6 linked regions of the Callithrix jacchus genome follow. The protein of the gene in region 1 interacts with the protein of each later gene in a pairwise test. Links are inferred from orthologs where the notes say so. Each region holds a gene or a part of one and is shown in the gene's direction. Other genes may lie near its edges.

The links.
Region 2: the proteins of PRKN (region 1) and GPR37 interact in a two-hybrid assay, tested with the Homo sapiens proteins (2 studies listed by BioGRID). The link is inferred for Callithrix jacchus from reciprocal best matches to the Homo sapiens genes PRKN and GPR37.
Region 3: the proteins of PRKN (region 1) and SYT11 interact in binary tests that used the Homo sapiens proteins (3 or more experiments, as listed by UniProt). The link is inferred for Callithrix jacchus from reciprocal best matches to the Homo sapiens genes PRKN and SYT11.
Region 4: the proteins of PRKN (region 1) and RGS2 interact in binary tests that used the Homo sapiens proteins (3 or more experiments, as listed by UniProt). The link is inferred for Callithrix jacchus from reciprocal best matches to the Homo sapiens genes PRKN and RGS2.
Region 5: the proteins of PRKN (region 1) and TOMM70 come close enough for resonance energy transfer, tested with the Homo sapiens proteins (3 studies listed by BioGRID). The link is inferred for Callithrix jacchus from reciprocal best matches to the Homo sapiens genes PRKN and TOMM70.
Region 6: the proteins of PRKN (region 1) and RAD1 interact in binary tests that used the Homo sapiens proteins (3 or more experiments, as listed by UniProt). The link is inferred for Callithrix jacchus from reciprocal best matches to the Homo sapiens genes PRKN and RAD1.

Annotation. Positions count from the first base shown.
Region 1 is NC_133505.1:168,973,867-168,977,366, reverse strand, and holds part of PRKN (E3 ubiquitin-protein ligase parkin), read left to right. Parts: intron 1-1,410; coding exon 1,411-1,574; intron 1,575-3,500. UniProt on the Homo sapiens protein: Functions within a multiprotein E3 ubiquitin ligase complex, catalyzing the covalent attachment of ubiquitin moieties onto substrate proteins. Substrates include SYT11 and VDAC1.
Region 2 is NC_133512.1:122,301,714-122,305,705, forward strand, and holds the start of GPR37 (prosaposin receptor GPR37), read left to right. Parts: upstream 1-1,192; 5' UTR 1,193-2,230; coding exon 2,231-3,250; intron 3,251-3,992.
Region 3 is NC_133519.1:16,246,295-16,249,794, forward strand, and holds part of SYT11 (synaptotagmin-11), read left to right. Parts: intron 1-1,386; coding exon 1,387-1,510; intron 1,511-2,064; coding exon 2,065-2,375; 3' UTR 2,376-3,500. UniProt on the Homo sapiens protein: Synaptotagmin family member involved in vesicular and membrane trafficking which does not bind Ca(2+). Inhibits clathrin-mediated and bulk endocytosis, functions to ensure precision in vesicle retrieval.
Region 4 is NC_133519.1:49,997,682-50,001,971, forward strand, and holds the start of RGS2 (regulator of G-protein signaling 2), read left to right. Parts: upstream 1-1,490; 5' UTR 1,491-1,520; coding exon 1,521-1,630; intron 1,631-2,577; coding exon 2,578-2,679; intron 2,680-2,781; coding exon 2,782-2,843; intron 2,844-3,413; coding exon 3,414-3,580; intron 3,581-3,837; coding exon 3,838-4,032; 3' UTR 4,033-4,290. UniProt on the Homo sapiens protein: Regulates G protein-coupled receptor signaling cascades. Inhibits signal transduction by increasing the GTPase activity of G protein alpha subunits, thereby driving them into their inactive GDP-bound form.
Region 5 is NC_133516.1:91,552,525-91,556,024, reverse strand, and holds part of TOMM70 (mitochondrial import receptor subunit TOM70), read left to right. Parts: intron 1-981; coding exon 982-1,155; intron 1,156-1,611; coding exon 1,612-1,738; intron 1,739-3,156; coding exon 3,157-3,266; intron 3,267-3,500. UniProt on the Homo sapiens protein: Acts as a receptor of the preprotein translocase complex of the outer mitochondrial membrane (TOM complex). Recognizes and mediates the translocation of mitochondrial preproteins from the cytosol into the mitochondria in a chaperone dependent manner.
Region 6 is NC_133503.1:170,715,773-170,718,154, forward strand, and holds part of RAD1 (cell cycle checkpoint protein RAD1), read left to right. Parts: intron 1-750; coding exon 751-1,009; intron 1,010-2,382. UniProt on the Homo sapiens protein: Component of the 9-1-1 cell-cycle checkpoint response complex that plays a major role in DNA repair. The 9-1-1 complex is recruited to DNA lesion upon damage by the RAD17-replication factor C (RFC) clamp loader complex.

The DNA of each region.
Region 1 (3,500 bases):
ATGAGTCAAATAATGGGCTGTGGTTTATGTTTTCAAGATAAGGGAACTGAGACCTAAAGAGGGAAGGTTGATGGATTTACCCCTAGCCTCGTAAGCCAATTAAAGGAGCCTGCGGGGATTTTTGCATGGGTCTTCCTATCAGTGCAGGATGCACTTTTAACCCCTGTGCTATCCTGCTTCCACGAGGAATCTGGTGAATATTATAAGACGTACATAGTAAATGCCACTGGTGCCCTGAATAGGCAAGATCAGGTTTTTTGCAGGAGCTGATAGCCAGAGGCTTCTTGGAGGAGGTCACATTTGAAGTAGGCATTCAGGGGGTAGGCAGGATTTCAACAGGAAGAGGAGGAGGAGGGAGGTCATGAATAAAAGCGAGAAGTTGGCTGCAGCAGCTTTCTGTGATTTTTCTTCTGGGAGCATTTAGTTTAACAGAGTATACTTAGAGAGTAATGAAGAAAATGCTGGAATATAGGTTTGTGCTAGATGAAAGGGATCTTGGATTCTTTTCTCACCAGCTGACAGCGTGAGACTTAAAGGGTTTCAGTGGTGTGACATAACTCTGTATCAATGACGCTCATTTTGCAGAATTATGTAGGGCTCTATGGAGGTAAGTGGAGTGGATTTAGCCTACAGTTGAGGGCTACTATGAGACTCTAGAAAAGATGTGATGAGAGTGTGACTTAGAGAAGTGAGAGAAGGAATGGAAAGGAAAGGGCAGATGCGAGACTCCAGAGGTGGAGAGCAGTTGTGGTGAGAAGACAGCATGCAGAAAGACTAGAGGATGCAGCCTGGCTCTCACGGGAACAGTGGTTTCAATAAGGCATGGTGTCACTAGTGTCCCCGCCCCCTCCCAAAAAAAGGGGGCAAATAATTGTCTTCATAGACCCACTGGAACATTTTGGCCAGGACCCTCCAAGACTAGGGCTCTGAGCCATAGCCCCTAGCGGGTCCTCACTCTGGTCTATAGAGCAGCTTGAAATGTTTCCATAGCTGTTCCTTGAGTGCTAACACACTGCCTCCTGTTTTTATTAAGAGGGTCACTGTGGAGGGAGTGTGAGTTTGTAGGAGCTGTCAGAGCTAAGTTTTTTCAATAAACTCATGGGACTCTTTCAATTCCAATCAAGCAAGTGTTCTGCTCAAGTCTCTGTTTCCCAGGATGGATGTCAAAGGGAGAATGCAGTTGTGGTTTGCAGGTCACTGACTAATGTATGAGAGGGAAATCTCATGGGTAACTCTGGTTTTCCCAAATATTGCTCTGTAGCATTAAGTTTTTTGTTGTAAGTGAGAGAAAATATATGCTACTCAGTGAAGGGCTGCAAGGGGTGAGTCGGTTGGGACATGTTGCTGTGGCCATTTAAGCTCTTTGAGTGATGCTCACTTTCTTTTCTCCCTTCCAATTTCCTTGGTCAGTGTTTGTCAGGTTCAACTCCAGCCATGGTTTCCCAGTGGAGGTCGATTCTGACACCAGCATCTTCCAGCTCAAGGAGGTGGTTGCTAAGCGACAGGGGGTTCCAGCTGACCAGTTGCGTGTGATTTTCGCAGGGAAGGAGCTGAGGAATGACTGGACTGTGCAGGTGAGTCTCCCTTGGCGGCCGTTCCTGGGACGCTGCCAGCCCCATTGCTCATGCCGCCTGCGCTGCCAATGTGACATTCGTGCTTGAGATCTAATAGAATAAACAGTGCCTGGGGATTCCTTGAACTATACTCCACACTGCTTCATTAATTCTGACCTTCTTAATTATGCATTAAAACAGCAAGCAGGAAAGATTTGAAGAACAACTGTGTGTGTGTGAGAGAGAGAAAGAACACACGAGCTAGGCTTAGTGAATAAATGTTTACTGACTACAGGAGCAGCAAGGCACAATTTCTGTGTCTGTTCAATTTCTACCTTACTTATTCCATTTGAATCTTAATGAAGAAGGGTTCGAATAAATTGTTCCCAGTCAGGCTGCTCAGTCCCTGCACCATGAGGAATTTGTAACCCAATTGTGACCCCTGGAGGATAGTGAGGGCTGCTCCTCCGCTCACTAGAGGAGGTGTGGGCTCAGGGCCCCCAAGGCAACTAGCTTTGAGCGCTCCTTGGCCAGGACCAGATCTCACCATGGGGAAGGCAGCCTGGAGCACAACAAAAGTACACCTTTGCATTGAATTTCTCCAAGGTTCAGTGAAACGGACCCTGGAAATAGGCCCCTGCAAAGTAGTGGAGTGAATGATGCTCTCTTCTCTCTGGCCCCAGCAGAGCTTCCGGCAGCCCACTGCTCCTGGCCCCATAGAAGTCTACACACTTTTCATTCGGATTGGTGACTTTTGTGGGAATTAGGGGGAACTGGTGAGGTGATTGATAATACCACCATCACCTAGAACTGAAGACCAGTCATTTGTTGGGGAAACTCACAAATACAACTCACCATGTGTTGACGTTATTTTTTGTGAACGCGAGAAAGACCAAACACTTTCTGTGAATGGTTTCTGTGACTGTTAAGGACCCAGCAGACATATGTCCCCCTTTTCTTAACCAGCATCAATTAATTGCACTCAGGTTTACAGCCTTGTGGGGACCGCTGCTGTGCATGGCAGGCTTGGGCACACAAAGCCTGTCCCTGGGTCTGCCTCCTCCTATCCCTGTTTCTTCTGGGCAATGATATTTGTGGGTTTGTCAAATGCTCTCAGGATTGGGGTATACAAAGAAGCCATAGAAATGCAATTGTCCCTGTCATTCTCCATTGCATCTCCTGCTGATGGTGCTGAGGCCCGCACTCATTGTGCACAAACTGCTGGGCTTTGCTTTCAGACAGTTTGGTTTTATAAGGGAAGTGCATGTGCTAGAAAGTGTTTTGATTTGTTTTTTCGATTTCAGTCAACGAAAAAGCTTTTCACTATATCTGCCAACCTCTAAATCCAAGGATGTTTCCTTCACAAATAAATAATTTTAAAACAGTTCCTTGAATCAAAACACTTTATGTTTCTAGAACTTTCAGGTTCTAACACTCCCTTTAGTGCTGATTGGTAAAACAATTAGCAATTTCCTATGTAGTTAGACTAATTGCCCCAGAGGATTGACTTTACAAACATATGTGCATAAGATATGTATTGATTTAAGGGTCTTTATGTTGACAAACACTTCTTAAGCACTTCCAATGTTCTAGGCTTCTCAGGGGATCCAAAAGAGAGACAAAACTCAGCCCCTGTTTTCATGGAGATGGGTCTTTATTTATGAGCCCTAAAACCAAAAGAAAGATTAGATTGGACCATATGGGGTTGCCATTTTTATAGGTTCAACAATTGCATGTGGTTCAACCTATTAGCCATAATGTAAGAACGTGAAACAAAACTGTCATATTGCACCTGAAAATATTATTGTAGCAGGAGCGGCCACAGGAAACGGATCTCTCTAACACCGAACAAAGGAGGGAGGAGTTTATTCCGCCGGGAGACCAGGCAGTAATTTGTCGAAAACCCAGCTCATCTAACAAAGGAAGGTTTTACCTTTATATAGGCTT
Region 2 (3,992 bases), on another chromosome or scaffold:
GTATTAGTTTACTATTGCTGCTGCAACAAATGACCACAAATTTAGTGGCTTAAAACAACACACATTTATTATCTTATAGTTATGGAAGTCAGAAGTCTCAAATGGGCTTGTAGATACTTTTTTATGCCCATTCTAGCTTCCAGAGATTGCCCACATTACTTGGCTTGTGTTTCTGTTTTTACTCCTACCCTCCTGCCTCTCATTTGTAAGGGCTCTTGTCATTATAATGTACCCACCTGGGTAATCATGATATGCTCCCCATTTCGGGAGCCTTAGCTGAATGTTATTGGCAAAATCCCTTTTGCCCTGTAAGGTAACACACTCACGGGTGTTAGGAATTAGGATTTGGACCTCTTTTGTGGGGGCCCATTATTCTATTTATCACAATTGGTATCGCATGTTCCATTGTATTTTCTCCTTTCTCTCTAAATGTGTTTCTTTAAAAAAAATTCAGGATGTGTTTATTTTTTCCTGTATCTTTTTCTCTTCATTAACTTGTCTGTTTTATTAGCTATACCCTGACAGTTTTGACAGGGTTGTGGAGTATAGCAGAAAGGTTGGGAAGACATGGACAGCCGTGCTGGGAGTGCTGTTCAAGCAATTTTCTGCCTCCAGTCATTTCCCACTACTTCATGAAAAACAACTACTTCCACTGTGCTGTGGATGCTACGAAGTAACCCATGGTAGGTGTTCAAGGCAATGGTGCATCCTGAGCATTCCCCCTCGGCATCCCAATCCTGGAACTAGTAATTCTCTATGACTGACACCTCTGAGCTCCCATTCTCTCCTATCTCACCCTGGGGAATACCTGAGAAGGTGAGGTTTCACCTTCTTGCTCCCCGCGCCACCCCCACCCCCACCCCCGCCCCCCGCCCAGCTGAAGCTTGGGCATGCGCATCACCCGCGACAGATTGGAGGGGACCCTGCTGCTCTCTCCCCTGCTACCCTCCTCCCTTCCCTTCCCCACCCCACTCGAATTCCCGTTTTCCCCCACTCCCCATTCCCGCCCCGCACCCGCACCCAGCCACGGCTCCGGGACCTGTCTGGCCGGTTTCGACATCTGGGGAATTAACCTGTCCCGCCCATCCCTAGCCTCAAAGCCGCGCAGGCTCCGCGCCTCCGCCCTTGTTCCCTCCCAGCTCCTCCGAGTGGAAGCCGCTACAAATGGCCTGAATGAAACGTGTGTGGGTTTAGTGAGTGGTGAACCACCAGGGGATCCCGTCTCCCCACAAACCAGTATCTCTCAGAGGAGGAGGTGAAGGACGGGGAGGAGACCAGGAGCCGAGCGTCGGGCTTCGGGGGCGCGCGCAGCGGCTGGAGCGCGGGGAGAGGCCGGGCCACCTCCCCTACCCGGCCGCGCACCGCCTGGCCCGCGGCGGTTCCAGGCACCACCCTCCCCGCCCGGGCAGCGCCGGCTGTGGCAGTGACGAGCTCCCGCGGCCGGCGGCACCGTCCACCGACGAGCGGCGCCCTCTTCTCCCACTTCTCCCCACGTTTCCCTTCTCTGCGGCGAAACGCTGTCCAGCAGCCCGCGTCGCCCCGTCGTCAACTTAGAGCTGGAGGCGAAGCAACTTTGGCAGTGGCGGCGGGGCTGGAATCCCCCTTCTCCTCGGCAGCAGTAGCCTCGCAAGTCGCTGGGGTTGGGTGGGGCGAGAGTTTCGCCGGCGCATCAGCGCTGCTTCTGACGGTTTGCAACCTGTTTCCAGCGAGCTGGGAGCGGGGTTGTGACTGCCGGTCGTCTGCGGGAGGGGGACTTGTTTTTCTTTTCCTCTAGAGACCTCGGCTTGCAACTGGATAAAGCAGTGTAGAAAGGATGTAACCAGGCAGAGCAACTGTTACCAAGAAGGCCACCACCCCACCCAAAGGCAGTGTGGAGCCTGTGGCTTCGTCCGGGCTCCCCGAGTCGCAACGTTAATCAACAGTCAGGTGTAGATTGCAACTTTCCAAGGTCAGCCGCCGGGAGTAGCCCATTCCTTCTACAGACCCTGGAGCGCACACTTCGCTGGGACTGAACTTGGCTGAGAAATGCACAAGATGCCGAACGAGGAAGGATTGTAGGGAGCGTGTGTGTGACCCCCAAGACCCATCCTCCGCGATCCCCGTAATCTCCGATCCCCGCTACCGGGCGGGGGTGAGTACGTGACATGTGCCTAACTCTCGGCAGCAACTTCGGCAGCAGGTGTCGATCCTAAGCAGGAGCCGCGGCTGCCGGGTGTGTCCTCGCCAAGCCATGCTAGCCTCGGGCGCGCTTCTCGCCCGCGTGTCGCGGCTGCTGCTTCTGCTACTGCTCAAGCTGTCTGCCTCTTCTGCCCTCGGGTTCGCCCCTGCGACCAGGAACGAAACTTGTCTGGGGGAGAGCTGTTCACCTACAGTGATCCAGCGCCGCAGCAGGGACGCCTGGGGACCGGGCAATTCTGCAGGAGACGTTCTGCGAGCCCGTGCACCCAGGGAGGAGCAGGAGGCGGCTGTGCTTGCGGCGCCCTCCTGGGACCTGCCGGCGGCCCCGGGTCGTGGCCCCGGTGTAGGCAGAGGGGCGGAGGCGTCTTCTGCCGGAGTCCCTGCACCTCCAACCAGGCTGCCTGGCTGGAGGTGGAAAGGTGCTCGGGGCCAGGAGCCTCCTGAAACTTTGGGGAGAGGGAACCCCACGGCCCTCCAGCTCCTCCTTCAGATCTCAGAGGAGGAAGAGAAGGGTACCAGAGGAGCTGGCATTTCCGGGCGCAGCCAGGAGCAGAGTGTGAAGACAGTGCCCGGAGCCAGCGATCTTTTTTACTGGCCACGAAGAGTCGGGAAACTCCAGGGTTCCCACCACAAGACCTCACCCAAGACGGCCAATGGACCAGCGGGGCACGAAGGGCGGATAATTGCACTCCCGGGCCGGGCGCTGGCCCAGAATGGGTCCTTGGGTGACGGAATCTATGAGCCTGGGGGTCCCCGCCGTGGAAACAGCACGAACCGGCGCGTGAGACTGAAGAACCCTTTCTACCCGCTGACCCAGGAATCCTACGGAGCCTACGCGGTCATGTGTCTGTCGGTGGTGATCTTCGGGACAGGCATCATTGGCAACCTGGCGGTGATGTGCATCGTGTGTCACAACTACTACATGCGGAGCATCTCTAACTCCCTCTTGGCCAACCTGGCTTTCTGGGACTTTCTCATCATCTTCTTCTGCCTTCCGCTGGTCATCTTCCACGAGCTGACCAAGAAGTGGCTGCTGGAGGACTTCTCCTGCAAGATCGTGCCCTATATAGAGGTAATGCCTTCCAGGGGGTCTCAAGCTATTGGCTTTATCTGTTTCCGGGATTATAGCAACAGAGAACTGCTGCTGGATGCACGGACCTAGCTGAATGTCTTTGCTTATCTGGAGCCCTCTTTCGTTTCTCTTTCCAGTCATTTATGCATATGTGCATATACAAAAAGAGGCAGCTTCGCTAAATCACCTTCTAATTCATCTGCACCTGGGCTGTAAAAGAATGATGATCTCACAATATATATAATTGTTTGGAGTATAAATCTATCTCCCTGAATATGGTGATAGGCATATTTCTGATTTGGCACTTGTTAGAGATTTTAGGGTTAAATAAATGGCCAGCCCACGGTTGTCATCATCAGAGCCTACAAAAAAAAAAAAAAAAAATCATTAGCCTTTATCTACTAGTTATCTAGTGCTTCAACGTGATTTTTCCTCCAAGATTACTGCATTTTTTCTTAAACACCAAGGTTGGAGTCACATTATTTTTACAAAGAAAGGAAGGAAATTATGTTTCTTTGTCAGTTGGCCTCATGATATATTATTAACCTATCAAATTAGCTTAAGTGTCTGGCTGTCTTCCATGCTGTCACATCTAAATTCTTATGTCATTTGTTTCTTTTTCCTTCTTGATTTCTTAATTGTGTGTGTGTGTGTGTGTGTGTGTGCCCGCGCGCGCACGCACGTGAACTTAAGCAAAAATAAGACTTTGGCCACCATGGCACGGAATTTGTTTAACATTCTC
Region 3 (3,500 bases), on another chromosome or scaffold:
TGGAGGAGCCAGGGGCAGTGGCTCACACCTGCAATCCCAGCACTCTGGGAGGCCGAGGCGGGCAAATCACTTGAGGTCGGGAGTTTGAGACCAGCCTGGCCAACATGGTGAAACCCTAGCTCTACCAAGAATACAAAAATGATCCAGGTGTGATGGTGGGCACCTGTAATCTCAGCTACTTGGGAGGCTGAGGCAGGAGATGTGTTTGAACCAGGGAGGTGGAGGTTGCAGTGAGCCGAGATTGCACCCTGCACTCCAGCCTGGGCAACAAGAGCAAGACTCTGTCTCAAAACAAACAAAGTGTTTTTGGAGGACTAGAGGTTTTTTCCAAGCTCTAAATGGATTCTAGCATCACATTTAAAGATGGAGAAACAAAGATCAGGGCGCTGGGGAGGAAGCTGACTTGGCTGGAGATGATACACTGGAGTGTACATTGGGGTGGGCAAAGCAGGTGTGGATATTCACCTTGTGAAATGGAGGGACAGGCTCCAGAAAGTTCAGGGACTTGCCTGAGGCCACATGGTGAGGAAGCGTCAAGGTTAAAACTCAGACCCCATTTTCCTACCTCCCACCGTACAGTCTTCAGAACTTTTTAAAGGATAAGACCTAAATGAGAGAATGGACTTCCGTAGTGCACGCTACGTGCTGGGCACCATTGCAGTTTACAGATTTTAACTTATTTAATCATTCTAATAATGCTGTGTGGTAGGTACTACTTTTCACTCTCATTTTATAAATGAGGAAACTGAAGTACAGAGATGTTGAATAACTTGTCCAAGGTCACAGATAAGAAATAGCACTGGGCACAGTGGTTCATGCCTGTAATCCCAGCATTTTGGGAGGCTGAGGTGGGAGAATCACTTGAGACCAGGAATTCAAAATCAGCCTGGGTTACATAGTGAGACTCTCTCTATAGAAAAAAAAAAATTAGCCAGGCGTGGTGGCACACACCTGTAGTCGCAGCTACTTGGGAGGCTGAGGTGGGAGGATTGCTAGAGCCCAGGAGATGGAGGCTGCAGTGAGCCAAGATCATGCCGCTGAACTCCAGCCTGGGCAACAGAGTGAGACCCTTTCTCAAAAAAAAGAAAAAAGAAATAGGATTTGAATCCAGGTTAGACTAGGTCCAGAGGTCATGCTCATAAATCCAAGGCTGTTCTGGCTCTCCATGCAAATTGTTTAATATCAGAATTATGGTTATAATGTTTCCTTTCTCCCTCTCTGTTAAATAAAATAATAACACCTTTCCAGGGGATGAGCATCTTTCCAACAGATTTCTCATCCCTGCACTTGTCCTCCCCCAGACTCTCTTCCCACTGCTCTGCATGCTTTTTGTGCTCTTCTCTGCACCCTCTGCCAGGATTCTCACCTGCCATTTCTTCCTCACAGAAGTGCATCAGCAGGGGGGAGCTCCAGGTGTCTCTGTCATATCAGCCTGTGGCACAGAGAATGACAGTGGTGGTCCTCAAAGCCAGGCACTTGCCGAAGATGGATATCACCGGTCTCTCAGGTAGCAGCTATTTACTTCAACCTATTTCTTACTGTCTGAACCACCCCCCACTCGTTGCCTGTGGCCCAGATAGACCTCCACACTTCAAGATCCTCACCTCTTTTAATCTGCTTCTCTTTCTGTTGACATTCTCTTCCTGATGAATGTCCATGTCCAGTAGACTTCCTAGCTTGGAAGTTTCTTCAGTTGAACAAATGGGGTCTTTACATTTGGCAAGGTATACTAAATAATATGCATGCCAGGTGCTAAGTGAAACTTCTCAAAAAGGCTGCAGGCATTTATCGCTGTGCCCTTTAAAATACTCTTGGTACCATGGGATTTCTTCAGATCTGACTTGAGAAAGTTGGTCTGTTCTAATCTTGCTGGGTTTCCTTGGTCTCTCATCCAGGCAGGCAGACTCACATACAATCAGTGTGCAATCCCTGAAGAACACACGGGGTGGTCATCAAAGATACGCACAACAGAGCTCCCCCTTTCCAACATGAAATTACCGTTACCTAAGGGAGGACTGTGTCATAGGCCTCTCTCCCTTTTTCTTATCTCCTTGGGGGCCCCAGATCCTTACGTCAAGGTGAACGTCTACTACGGCAGAAAGCGCATCGCCAAGAAGAAAACCCACGTGAAGAAGTGCACTTTGAACCCCGTCTTCAACGAATCTTTCATCTATGACATCCCCACTGACCTCCTGCCTGATATCAGCATCGAGTTCCTCGTCATCGACTTCGATCGCACTACTAAGAACGAGGTGGTGGGGAGGCTGATCCTGGGGGCACACAGTGTCACGGCCAGTGGTGCGGAACACTGGAGAGAGGTCTGCGAGAGCCCCCGCAAGCCTGTGGCCAAGTGGCACAGTCTGAGCGAGTACTAATCCTGTTCTTCTCTCCTCTAACCGCCCCCCTGGGGCCAGGCTGGGGAGGGATGTGGCGGGGAAAGAGATGACAGAGAAGTGGACTCAAAACCTCATTTTAGTTGTAGAGGAAAATTTCTTACAAAACACACTCCACAAAGAACACCCTACATGACCACAGCTGCAGATCAGTTCTTAGCAATGATGGCTTTTTCTCCTCTGCAAGGCATAAGGCATCAGAATTTCTTTGTTTGTTTGTTTCTTTCTTTCTTTCTTTTGAGATGGAGTTTCGCTCTTGTTGCCCAGGCTGCAGTGCAATGGCACAATCTTGGCTCACTGAAACCTCCACCTCCTGGGTTCAAGTGATTCTCCTGCCTCAGCCTCCCAAGTAGCTGGGACTACAGGCACCCGACACCACGCCTGGCTAATTTTTTGTATTTTTAGTAGAGATGGGTTTTCATCATATTGGCCAGGCTAGTCTTGAACTCCAGACCTCAGGTGATCCACCTGCCTCAGCCTCCCAGAGGACTGGGATTACAGGTGTGAGCCACCGCACCTGGCCTCTTTTTTTTTTGATGGGGACAAAAGAGAGGGAAAGACCCCTATAAATCTTTATATAACAATGTAACCATATACTTGCATGTCTAATACAAACTGAAGAAATTAGCCTAACTGCCAATATCAAGTTGCAGATTTTAATCCATAAAAATTGTGTTTTGTGCCGAATTGTATTTGCTGATTACCTGAAATTGGCTTTTTTTTTAACTGGGCTTCTCTGGAGAATTTCTCCCACTCCCCACCTCTGCACTTATAAAACCTCATGTTTTCATCATTGCCATCTTTTGTTTTTACCTCTTATATCTCTGCTCTTTGACTGAGCTCAAGGTCTAGAGGTCTGTAATAAGCCAAGAAACAAAGGTGGGGTGAATGAGGCAAGGTTTGCAGGAGAAAGAGGAATTGAGAAATGGGGTATTTTTGCTATCAGCCCTTCTGCTATGAAGTAGTAAAGGGCAGTCTATAATTAACTAACAGACCTAACTGAAACACAGAGAATGCATCAGGCTTATGCATCCGATACGTCAGATCTTGGACTCTTATCAGACTTGACGACTTCTCTAAAAGGAGCTTTGGAGACTTCAAATTCAG
Region 4 (4,290 bases), on another chromosome or scaffold:
TTGGAAATAGAGTCTCGCTCTGCTTCCCAGGCTGGAGTGCAGTGGCACGGTCTCAGCTCACTGCCACTTCCTCCTCCTAGGTTCAAGTGATTCTCCTGCCTCAGCCTCCCGAGTACCTGGGATTACAGGCAAGTGGCACCACGCCCGGCTAATTTTTGTATTTTTAGTAGAGACGAGGATTTCACCATGTTGGCCAGGATGGTCCCGACCTCTTGACCTCACGATTTGCCCGCCTGGCCTCCCAAAGTGCTGGGATCACAGGCGTGACTACACGCAGCCCCCAGTTTCGTTTTAAACAAGTCTATACAAATAGAATATCTACAGCTTGGTGGCAAAGCCGCTTAAACATGTCACTGGCTAGTTCTGGCAATATTATCCGAAATCAACTCATTTTTGTGGTCGAGGTTATCTGTCTTGTCTTTACCAATCGAGTCGCTGTAAACACTCCAGGACTAAAGATGACACCTGAAGAATCAAACTTACTCAGGGAAACTGTTAACTCCTTTTTTGCCAGTTATTAAAAGTTCTGGTGAATCCCAACTCAACCCAGAATGACTGGTGAGGAAATGTGAGTCCTTGACCTCGCTGGCCCTGGGGCGTTAGGCTGAGAACCGCGTCTCCAGCCTCCTCTCCCACCCTAGGAAGTCTGGGATTCTATTTCGCCTGCAGATGCGCCCGAGGGCTCCCGAGGACGGACCGGGCAGGCAGACCCAGCCCGTGCCCAGCACTGACAGCAAACGCAAACCCAACGCGCCGTCTTCTGAGACAGTCGTTTTCCCTCGTTCAATCCCCGACTGACGTTCATCCCCAAAGTGTTCGAGACGCCCCGAAAGCTGCAGAGGAGGCCGCACCGCCCGCCCCTGGGCAGCCCACGTTTCAGGACACCCCGTTCCTCAAATTAATGGCGGGGAGAAGCGGGCGAGCGTCTCCTCGCAGCCTCGGTTCACAGACCGGGGCGTGTCGAGCGAGTCCCTGCAGCAGGACGGCGCGCTCACAAAAACGAGAAAATCCCACTCTGCATTCAAAACCAGGCGAGCGCACTCCGGCCTCGCGGCGGGCGACCTGCTCCCGCCAGGGAAGCGCGAGGCCGGGGAGCCGGTCAGGGAGGCTGAGGGAGCGCCCCCCGCCGCGCCGCAGCCAACTTCCGCTCCCCTCCGCCGCAAAGCCCGCAGCCCGCCGGCCGCCACACCTCGGCAAAAGGTCGGGGGCAACCTCTCCACACTGGAAAGTCTCTGTTCGCTCCCACACCGGCCCCAGCCGGCCCTGCGGTGTGACCCGAGTGCGCAAGAAGCCGGGGCCGCACTCGTCAGCAGCTCCCTGGCTTCGAGACCCTTCGGCAGAGGCCGTGACTGCGGCCGGCGGGCGCTGACCCCATCCCCGCGCGCGTCTGCCGCCGGCCAATCCGCGTCCTCTTGAGGCGGGGCCGGAGCGGCGAGGCCCCGCCCCCAAGCCGCAGCCTCTTATTAAATACTGCGGCGCCCGCCGGCCTCACACAGCCGCGGAGCAGCGGGAGGACGAGGATGCAAAGTGCTATGTTCTTGGCTGTTCAACACGACTGCAGACCCATGGACAAGAGCCCAGGCAGCGGCCACAAGAGCGAGGAGAAGCGGGAAAAGATGAAGCGGACCCTGTGAGTATGGCTTTCTTCCCTCTCGCGCCACCCACCGCGAGCTGCAAACGCGGTGCTTTCCGGCTCGGCTTTGATCTTAGGAAGCTAGCCTGACCCTCTGCAGGGAAAAAAAAAAAAGTCGAAAAGCTCAATTTGTTAAGTAACGTTAAATCTGGGTGACGCTCGGGTAGTGTAGGAGCCGAGGGACGTAGTTGATAGGAGGGCGGTGGTGGATGCGCTAAGAAATTGTGGGTTGGCTGTTTGTCCTCCCGCATTGAAAATGACATCAGAATCCTGCGGCTGGTCCGCTTTACACAGCTGCTGGAAGGAGATGCTCTTGCCGGTTCTGAATATACTCGTTTAAAATCCATTTTTGTTTTTTAATTATAGAGCAGATCTCACCCAGTCACGAATGTGGAACAAATAATTGTGCAGCGTCTGCTTAAATGAAGGGTTGCAGGTGGGGAAGGGAGAGTGCAGGGGAATCAGTCGCCCACCCACCTCTTTGTACACACTCTGGCACGGTCAGGAACCTCCTGCTCTAAAGACAGAAGCATGGGCTGGCTCCAGACAGTTCCACGTCTGCCCTTTTCATTAACTGCGAAACGTCTCGGAATTGTAGTTAACCTTGCAAACAAACTGGTATCCTTTTGAAATAGTATCTGCCTTTTGAACTAAATTCATTAACAATTCTTTAAAATACTCCTAGTGATTCTAGGTAGCCCTGCCCTTAGCTGTAAAAGTAGTAGATACGATCAGATTAATGGATGAAACTGTTCAGTACATGAGTTTAAATGTTAAGTGGGTGGTAAGACTGTTATTTGAAGAGTTCTTGCTTTACCTTATGCGGTTTGTCTCTAGTTACTGGGTGCCTTTATTTGGTAAAAATGCGTTCAGCTGCAGAAGCATATTGAAGTGTTGGTACTTAGTGATTATGTTTTTTAAAAAATTTTTTTCTGTTGTTTTAGTTTAAAAGATTGGAAGACCCGTTTAAGCTACTTCTTGCAAAATTCCTCTACTCCTGGGAAGCCCAAAACCGGCAAAAAAAGCAAACAGCAAGCTTTCACCAAGTAAGTTGAGAATCCCGTAGTTGCAAGTATGAATAGTTAGTTGCTGAACTGAAAAGGGGAACTCTGATGTGCGTAAGCTAACATGCAAAACTTGTCTTTCAGGCCATCTCCTGAGGAAGCACAGCTGTGGTCAGAAGCATTTGATGAGCTGCTGGCCAGCAAATGTAAGTTAATTCTTGAACTTGAGCCATTGCTATTATCACAAAAGCCTGGAAAGGCTGTGTTCATGCTGCAAAAGAGCAGCTTGCCTGAGGGAATTAGATTGTGCAGTCACTATAGGATAAAGCCTATTTTTCTCTCCTTTATTTCCCAGGGTTTAAAATGGAAATAAATGCATGTATTCCCTCCAAGTGGGGAAGAAAAATAGCCAAAAAAAATTAAAGTGGCAGTTGCTTATAGTTAAGTTCAAGTCAGTTTTTCCATTGCATACAATGTTTTCAAGAGGCTTAGTTCCCAGAGAACTTATGGCTCCCCTATAAATATTTATTTTGCATTGACAGCAAAGTTAAGTACTTATATTTTTGCAGCAGAGTGCCAACATAAGCATTTTACCTACTGCATCTTAGTCATTAAAAAGCTAAATTTTGAGAATTGCAGGTTTGAGCAAAATCTAGAAAATTACTGTCATTTAGAAATAATTAAAATTTGAGGTAGAAGTACTAGGGGGAACATAAGGAATCATTCGGTCACTCAGTTCTTAACATTCTGCATGCTTTCTTTTCTCCCCTCTTCAGATGGTCTTGCTGCATTCAGGGCCTTTTTAAAGTCTGAATTCTGTGAAGAAAATATTGAATTCTGGCTGGCCTGTGAAGACTTCAAAAAAACCAAATCACCCCAAAAGTTGTCCTCAAAAGCAAGGAAAATATATACTGACTTTATAGAAAAGGAAGCTCCAAAAGAGGTAAGACAAAAAGTTCCTAATTTCAGCACAGTCAGGACATTTTTAGCACAAAAGTGAAACAAAAGAATCCAGGACAAAGTGGGGCTAGAAGGAGGGCAAAAGCCCTCCCACATTGTAGCTTTCAGTTATGTCAGAAGTTTCCCGTGACTTGCGAGTAAAGCTAATCACACATCATAATTATTTTTTTGTTTACAAATATTAGATTTTACTCTTTAACTCTGAATACCAAATAAACCATGTTTTTTGTTTTATTTCAGATAAACATAGATTTTCAAACCAAAACTCTGATTGCCCAGAATATACAAGACGCCACAAGTGGCTGCTTTACAACCGCCCAGAAGAGGGTATACAGCTTGATGGAGAACAACTCTTACCCCCGTTTCTTGGAGTCGGAATTCTACCAGGATTTGTGTAAAAAGCCACAAATTGCCACAGAGCCTCATGCTACATGAAATGTGAAAGAGAGCCTGAAAATGGAGGACATTTCATTCTTTTTCCTAAGGGGAAAGACTGACCTTGAATTCAGCCTGAGTGTTGGGGAAACATCACTCAGAACTATTGATTCAAAGTTGGGTAGTGAATCAGGAAGCCAGTAACTGTCTAGAAGAAGCTGGTATCAGAACAGCTTCCCTCACTGTGTGTAGAACACAAGAAGGGAATAGGGGGTCTGAACGTGATGCCTCACTCTGAAAGCGGGAATGTAAGATGAT
Region 5 (3,500 bases), on another chromosome or scaffold:
GTTGACACTAGCTAGCTTAAAGTAGCTATGTAATATTCTGAACTTAAATAGATCTCCCTAGAAATCCTTTGCACAATAAATCTTTTAAAAACCTTAAAGTGCTACAGCCTTTTTGGAAAAGTCTGAGTGTTTTTTGAAATTAAAAATATATAATCCTCCATCCTGGGCAACATGGCAAAACCCCATCTCTACTAAAAATAATAAAGTTAGCCAGGTGTGTTGATAACCCTAGCTACTTGGGAGGCTGAGGCAGGAGAATCACTTGAACCCAGGAGGTGGAGGTAGCAGCGAGCCAAGATTGTGCCACTGTACTCCAACTTGGGCGACAGAGAGAGAGAGACCCTGTCTAAATTAAAACACACACACACACACCTTTTATCCTGGCATGGTGGTGTGTACCTGTAATCTCATCTGCCTGGAACATGGAGGTAGGGGGATTGCTTGAGCCCAGGAATTTGTGAGTAGCCTGGGCAATATAGCAAGACATCTTGTGCTTTTTTTTTTTTTTTTTTTTTTTGTAAGACCAGAGTCTCACTCTCTCACCTAGGCTGGAGGGCAGTGGTGTGATGTCAGCTCACCTCAGCCTCTGCCCCTGGGTTAAGCAATTCTCATGCCTCAGCTACCCAAGTAGCTGGGACTATAGGCATGTGCCACCATACACAGCTATTTTTTGTATTTTTAGTAGAGAGGGGGTTCCACCATGTTGGCCAGCCTGGTCTCAAACTCCTGGCCTCAAGTGATCCACCCACCTCAGCCTCCCAAAGTGCTGGGATTATAGGCATGAGCCACCACACCTGGCCAAGATACGCTTTTTGACTCAACAATCCTACTAGTAGGAATCTATTTCATGAAGATATTGGTATGAAGCAACTTACATTGTAAACAGCCATTCTGTCCTGCTGTTATCAGTTTATTGTTTAATTATTGTGGTCTGAGTCTGAATGTTGATTAGTGTTTGATAATTGTTTTCTCTCATTTCAGAACTCTCTTGATAGAGCCCAAGCAGCCAAGAACAAAGGCAATAAGTATTTTAAAGCTGGAAAATATGAACAAGCTATTCAGTGCTATACTGAGGCTATTAGCTTGTGCCCTACAGAGAAGAATGTTGACCTTTCTACATTTTATCAAAACAGAGCTGCTGCCTTTGAACAGTTGGTGTGTACCCTAGGTTGTTTCTTCTGTTGCATTTGTATCTTTTTATTTGCTTGAAGTTTCAGTTAATGCTACTCAAATAAACCTAATATAGTTTTTGGAAGTTGTTTCAAAATTATGGGATATTGTTTTTATTTCCATTAATTGCAAAACTTAAGAATAAATTCTGTAGTTTTGCTGACTACAGATAAACGCCAAAGTTAAGTATATTTCAGATTTTATAAAATTAGATAGTATAGAAAATTAAAGTTTCTGGTGACCCTAGTCTCCTCAACAGTTTGAGGCTATTTCTTTAACTTTTTGATATTTATATGAGTTTTGTAATATATGGCAGATATTAACTCTTTGTATTAGGAACACTTTTTTAATTTTAGGACTTTTAGCCTACTACATTTAAACTGATTTCTATTGAACAGTGCTTCCTTTAGTGTGACTTTTTAAAAATACTTTCAATTACAGCAAAAATGGAAAGAGGTGGCACAAGATTGTACAAAGGCTGTTGAACTTAATCCCAAATATGTGAAAGCTCTCTTTAGACGTGCAAAAGCCCATGAGAAGCTAGACAATAAGAAGGAATGTTTAGAAGGTGAGGGTAATTTTGTGTTTACCTATGAAAATTGCTTGAGATTTTGTAGTCATTGGTAAATGTATATGAAACTGCCTTCTGAGTACAAGAATCAGTTTTTTTTTTTTTTTTTGAATCAGTTGTTTTTCAAAGGTGCACTCTTTTGCAATTAAGACTTTGTCTTCTAGTGTAAATTAAGATTGCTGATATTTAAGTATTGTCTTGTTCTCAACTGTGGAATTAAATGAGTATTAAGATTTGGAGTTTATATACTACACATTTTAAACTTAGCAACTAATGAGTGTTAGTATAATTCTCTGAATAAGGAATTCAGAAAAGATGTTTTAGCAAGTGATAGTGTTTCTAAGATTCTACATATTTCACTTAATATGTATAAATATGTGAAATAGCTTTGAGATAAATCATTAAGAAACATCGTTTTTGGCCCTTGGTGTTTTCAAACATTATTTAATACCCAATTGGAAATTACTGTTTTATACCTAATTTACACCTAATTGGAAATGATGTAGATTGGTACAAAGCATCAAAATGATTTTGACATTCTCAGGAAATGCCATAAATATTCTGTGGCCTCTGAATGCCCATATATTTGCTTCCAAAGCTGCAATTAGAGTATACCCCTGGCCTTTAAAATACATTCTTCTAGGTGATATGAAACAAAACCAAAGTATAATTTTCTATAGTCTAAAAGTTCTTCCCACTTCATATTTAAGTCTACTTTAAAAGCATCAGTAAGATTTAGCTATTATTATTCTTATTTTTAAAAATTACATTATATTTTAAAAGGAAAAAGCCCCTTTCTAAAAAAAATTTAAAAAGTGTGGAATACCAATGTGAGGATGTTTTAGAAGGGATGGTCATTGTTTGAGTGCTTTGAATGAAAGGTTGAGAGGTTAAGGAACTGTTTATCTTTTTAATTTCAAACCACTGCATGCATCTTGAGCTGTGACATAACCAGATAAAAATGGTATTGGGGCAGATTTGAGAGCTTTGTGGGAAGATGGCTTTGGAGACAAGGAATAACTCTGAGGCCTATAAAAACACCAGGCATGAGAGAGCCACACTATTTTGATATGCCTTAGAGTTGTTAGCCAGAAGAGAATTCCTGGATTCCTTGTTTTCTTTGCTATATATAGAATGTTAGAGTGGTGAGGAACATCAGAAATCATGCAGCATAGCCCCTTTAATTTCACAGGTAAGGAAAGCAGACCCCAGAGAAGAGGAGTGACTTTCTGAGCTTTCAGTTTGGTCATAGAGAATATAAAAGTAGGTGTTAAGAATCAATTAATTGGAAATGAAACCGTCCCATTAGGCCAGAAATTCAGTTTGGCTTTCTGTAGTTACATTGTACCCATTTGATGCTGCTGACCGTCTTTGCAATAATTTTATATTTACTTGTGTGTTTTTCATCATTCTAGATGTCACTGCTGTGTGTATATTAGAAGGGTTCCAAAATCAACAAAGCATGCTGTTAGCCGATAAAGTTCTTAAACTCCTTGGAAAAGAGAAAGCCAAAGAAAAATATAAGGTAAACTGATCTGAGTTGGGGAATACAGGGAGTACTCTGTAGGGTATTTTCTATTTTATGCTGTTTAAGCTTAGGCATAGTGGTAATGGCAACAACTGAAATTAGAACTGTTACATTTCTTCTTCCTATTATCTTTGGTTTTTATGACTTGTCCTTTTTCTTTTTCTTTTTTTTTTTTTTTGTGGGACGGAGTCTCGCTCTGTTGCCCAGGATGGAGTACAGTGGCACGGTCTT
Region 6 (2,382 bases), on another chromosome or scaffold:
AATATAGTTCTCCAATATAGTTCTCCAGAAAAATGTATTTTAATTTTCTACTGACAATTCCACTGTTATTAACTAACTATACATTTTCTAATACCGTGTTCTCCAGCTGGTTTTTCATGAAAGAATCTGTCATCTTCCATTCCTCACTGTGGCTCTCCATGCAGTAAGGAGGAATTTGAATATCCTATCACATTCCTCCTTCCCCTAATGGTTTGCAGTGTTAGAATTTACACCACTATTAACAACCCTCTTTTTGTCTCAATTTAATTTTGAAATTTGAAAAAATATAAAGAATATCTGAGTTGGAAAAGTTGGAAGGATCCTTATAAGAGTGAATACACTGACATTACAGTACACATAGCAGTCCACTGTTACACACATTGAACCTTCAAGAAATAGCATACTGTGTTCTGCGGCAATTTGGTTACTTGCTGTGTTGATCCATGTAGATTCTCTATCCTGAAATTTATGTATATAAAATCAAGCTATTTCTGAGGTATTTATGACAACCTGAAAATGATACCAGAGAGTTACGTTACATTTTGTTCTGGTTCCCAATTTTCTTGTATGTTTGGAATTGTCTACATACAACTGTCATCAGGGAAGATATAATCCCTTTTTATGAGGAGATACGTATATGCGAGAAATTTGGTGGAATGAATTATTCTTGAGAAATTTTATATCATTTTGAGGAGAAGCTGAACCCAGAGCTATAAAGCTAAGGCCAAGTATGATTTCTTTCCATTGCAGGGACTTTAACTGCTCTTCGGATGTGTTACCAAGGTGATGGTTACCCTTTGATGCTGTTCCTAGAAGAAGGAGGGGTGGTAACAGTCTGCAAAATCAATACGCAGGAACCTGAGGAGACCCTGGACTTTGACTTCTGCAGCACCAATGTTATTAATAAAATTATTCTGCAGTCAGAGGGACTCCGTGAAGCATTTTCTGAATTGGATATGACGAGTGAAGTCTTACAGATTACGATGTCTCCTGACAAGCCTTATTTCAGGTACTTGAGAGCGGTGGAGTTATAGTTCATGTGGTCTGTACTCTGTCTTCCCTCTAGACATTTGCTTAGGATGCAGAATTTTTATTATCCACATTTTTAGAGCTTTCACAACTTTAAATAGCTTGTACTCTTACTCATAATTTTATGGATCAAGAAACTTAAGACCCAGAAAGATTAACTCACTATTTCATATTTAGATGGTGTTGGCATGTAGATGAGAAGCCCGGTCCCCTAATTTCTAAACTAGTAATGTTTTCATACTACTTACTGTCATGTATCAGGTTACATCATGAGGAAAATTGGGTTTAAGTGTTTGGAAAGGGTATTTGTATTATATGGTATCTTTTTCAAGTTAGTTCAGGATGCAGAACATGTTTTCTACATGTGGTTCATTCATTCACTAAGGTATCTGTTGATCACCTACCATGTGCTTATTCATCTTATTGACCATTGTAGGAATAACAACTTAAAATTAAGGTGAAGCCAAGATATGTGAAACAGCAAACCATTAAGTACGAAGATAGCACACAGAGATCCCTGGGAAACACTGAATAAAGATTTAGGGAGGATAGCTCGATGCTCACTTCCAAAGAGAGGGCAGTTTTCAGCAGGAAGACAATGTCAAAAAAGCTGCTCCTTATTCTTTCACACAAGTCTCTTTCCAGGATTAGTCTCAGTTTAGAAATTCTAGCAAGAGGATCTAAATATTCTCTTTTGAAAAATTTCAGAATATTAAATAAAGGCACTAAATACATATGGAATAAAAGGTATAAGGTATTCTTTTTGTAACTGCTTTAGAAAAATTACAGACCCAGCTGGGTGCAGTGGGTCACACCTGTAATCCCAGCACTTTGGGAGGCCGAGGTGGGTGGATCACTTGAGGTCAGGAGTTCAAGACCAGCCTGGCCAACATGGTGAGACCCTGTCTAATTAGCTGAGTGTGGTGGCAGGTGCCTGTAATTCCAGCTACTCAGGAGGCTGAAGTGGGGAGAATCACTTGAACCCAGGAGACGAAGGTTGCAGTGAGCCAAAATTGCACCACTGCACTCCAGCCTAAGTGACAGAGCAAGACTCTCAAAAAAAAAAAGAAAAAGAATTACAGGTCCTTCTCATGACTTTGGGCAGTTAAAAATTTGGATCACGGTCTGACAAAGTATTAACCAAAATGGAAATTGGAAACCCTACTTTAGCTGTGGAATGAAGTGAAAAATTCAGGTACTTAAACAATATTTCAGAGGATCTCCTTCTCAGTGATCTCTCAGCCTGGGTAACTAGGTGGATCATGGTATCTTTCATCTCCAAGTTAGGAAACAATTTGGTGGTAGGGAGGTTGGAGTTGAAATGTTTTTTCTGGATATGTTAAATTTTAAGTA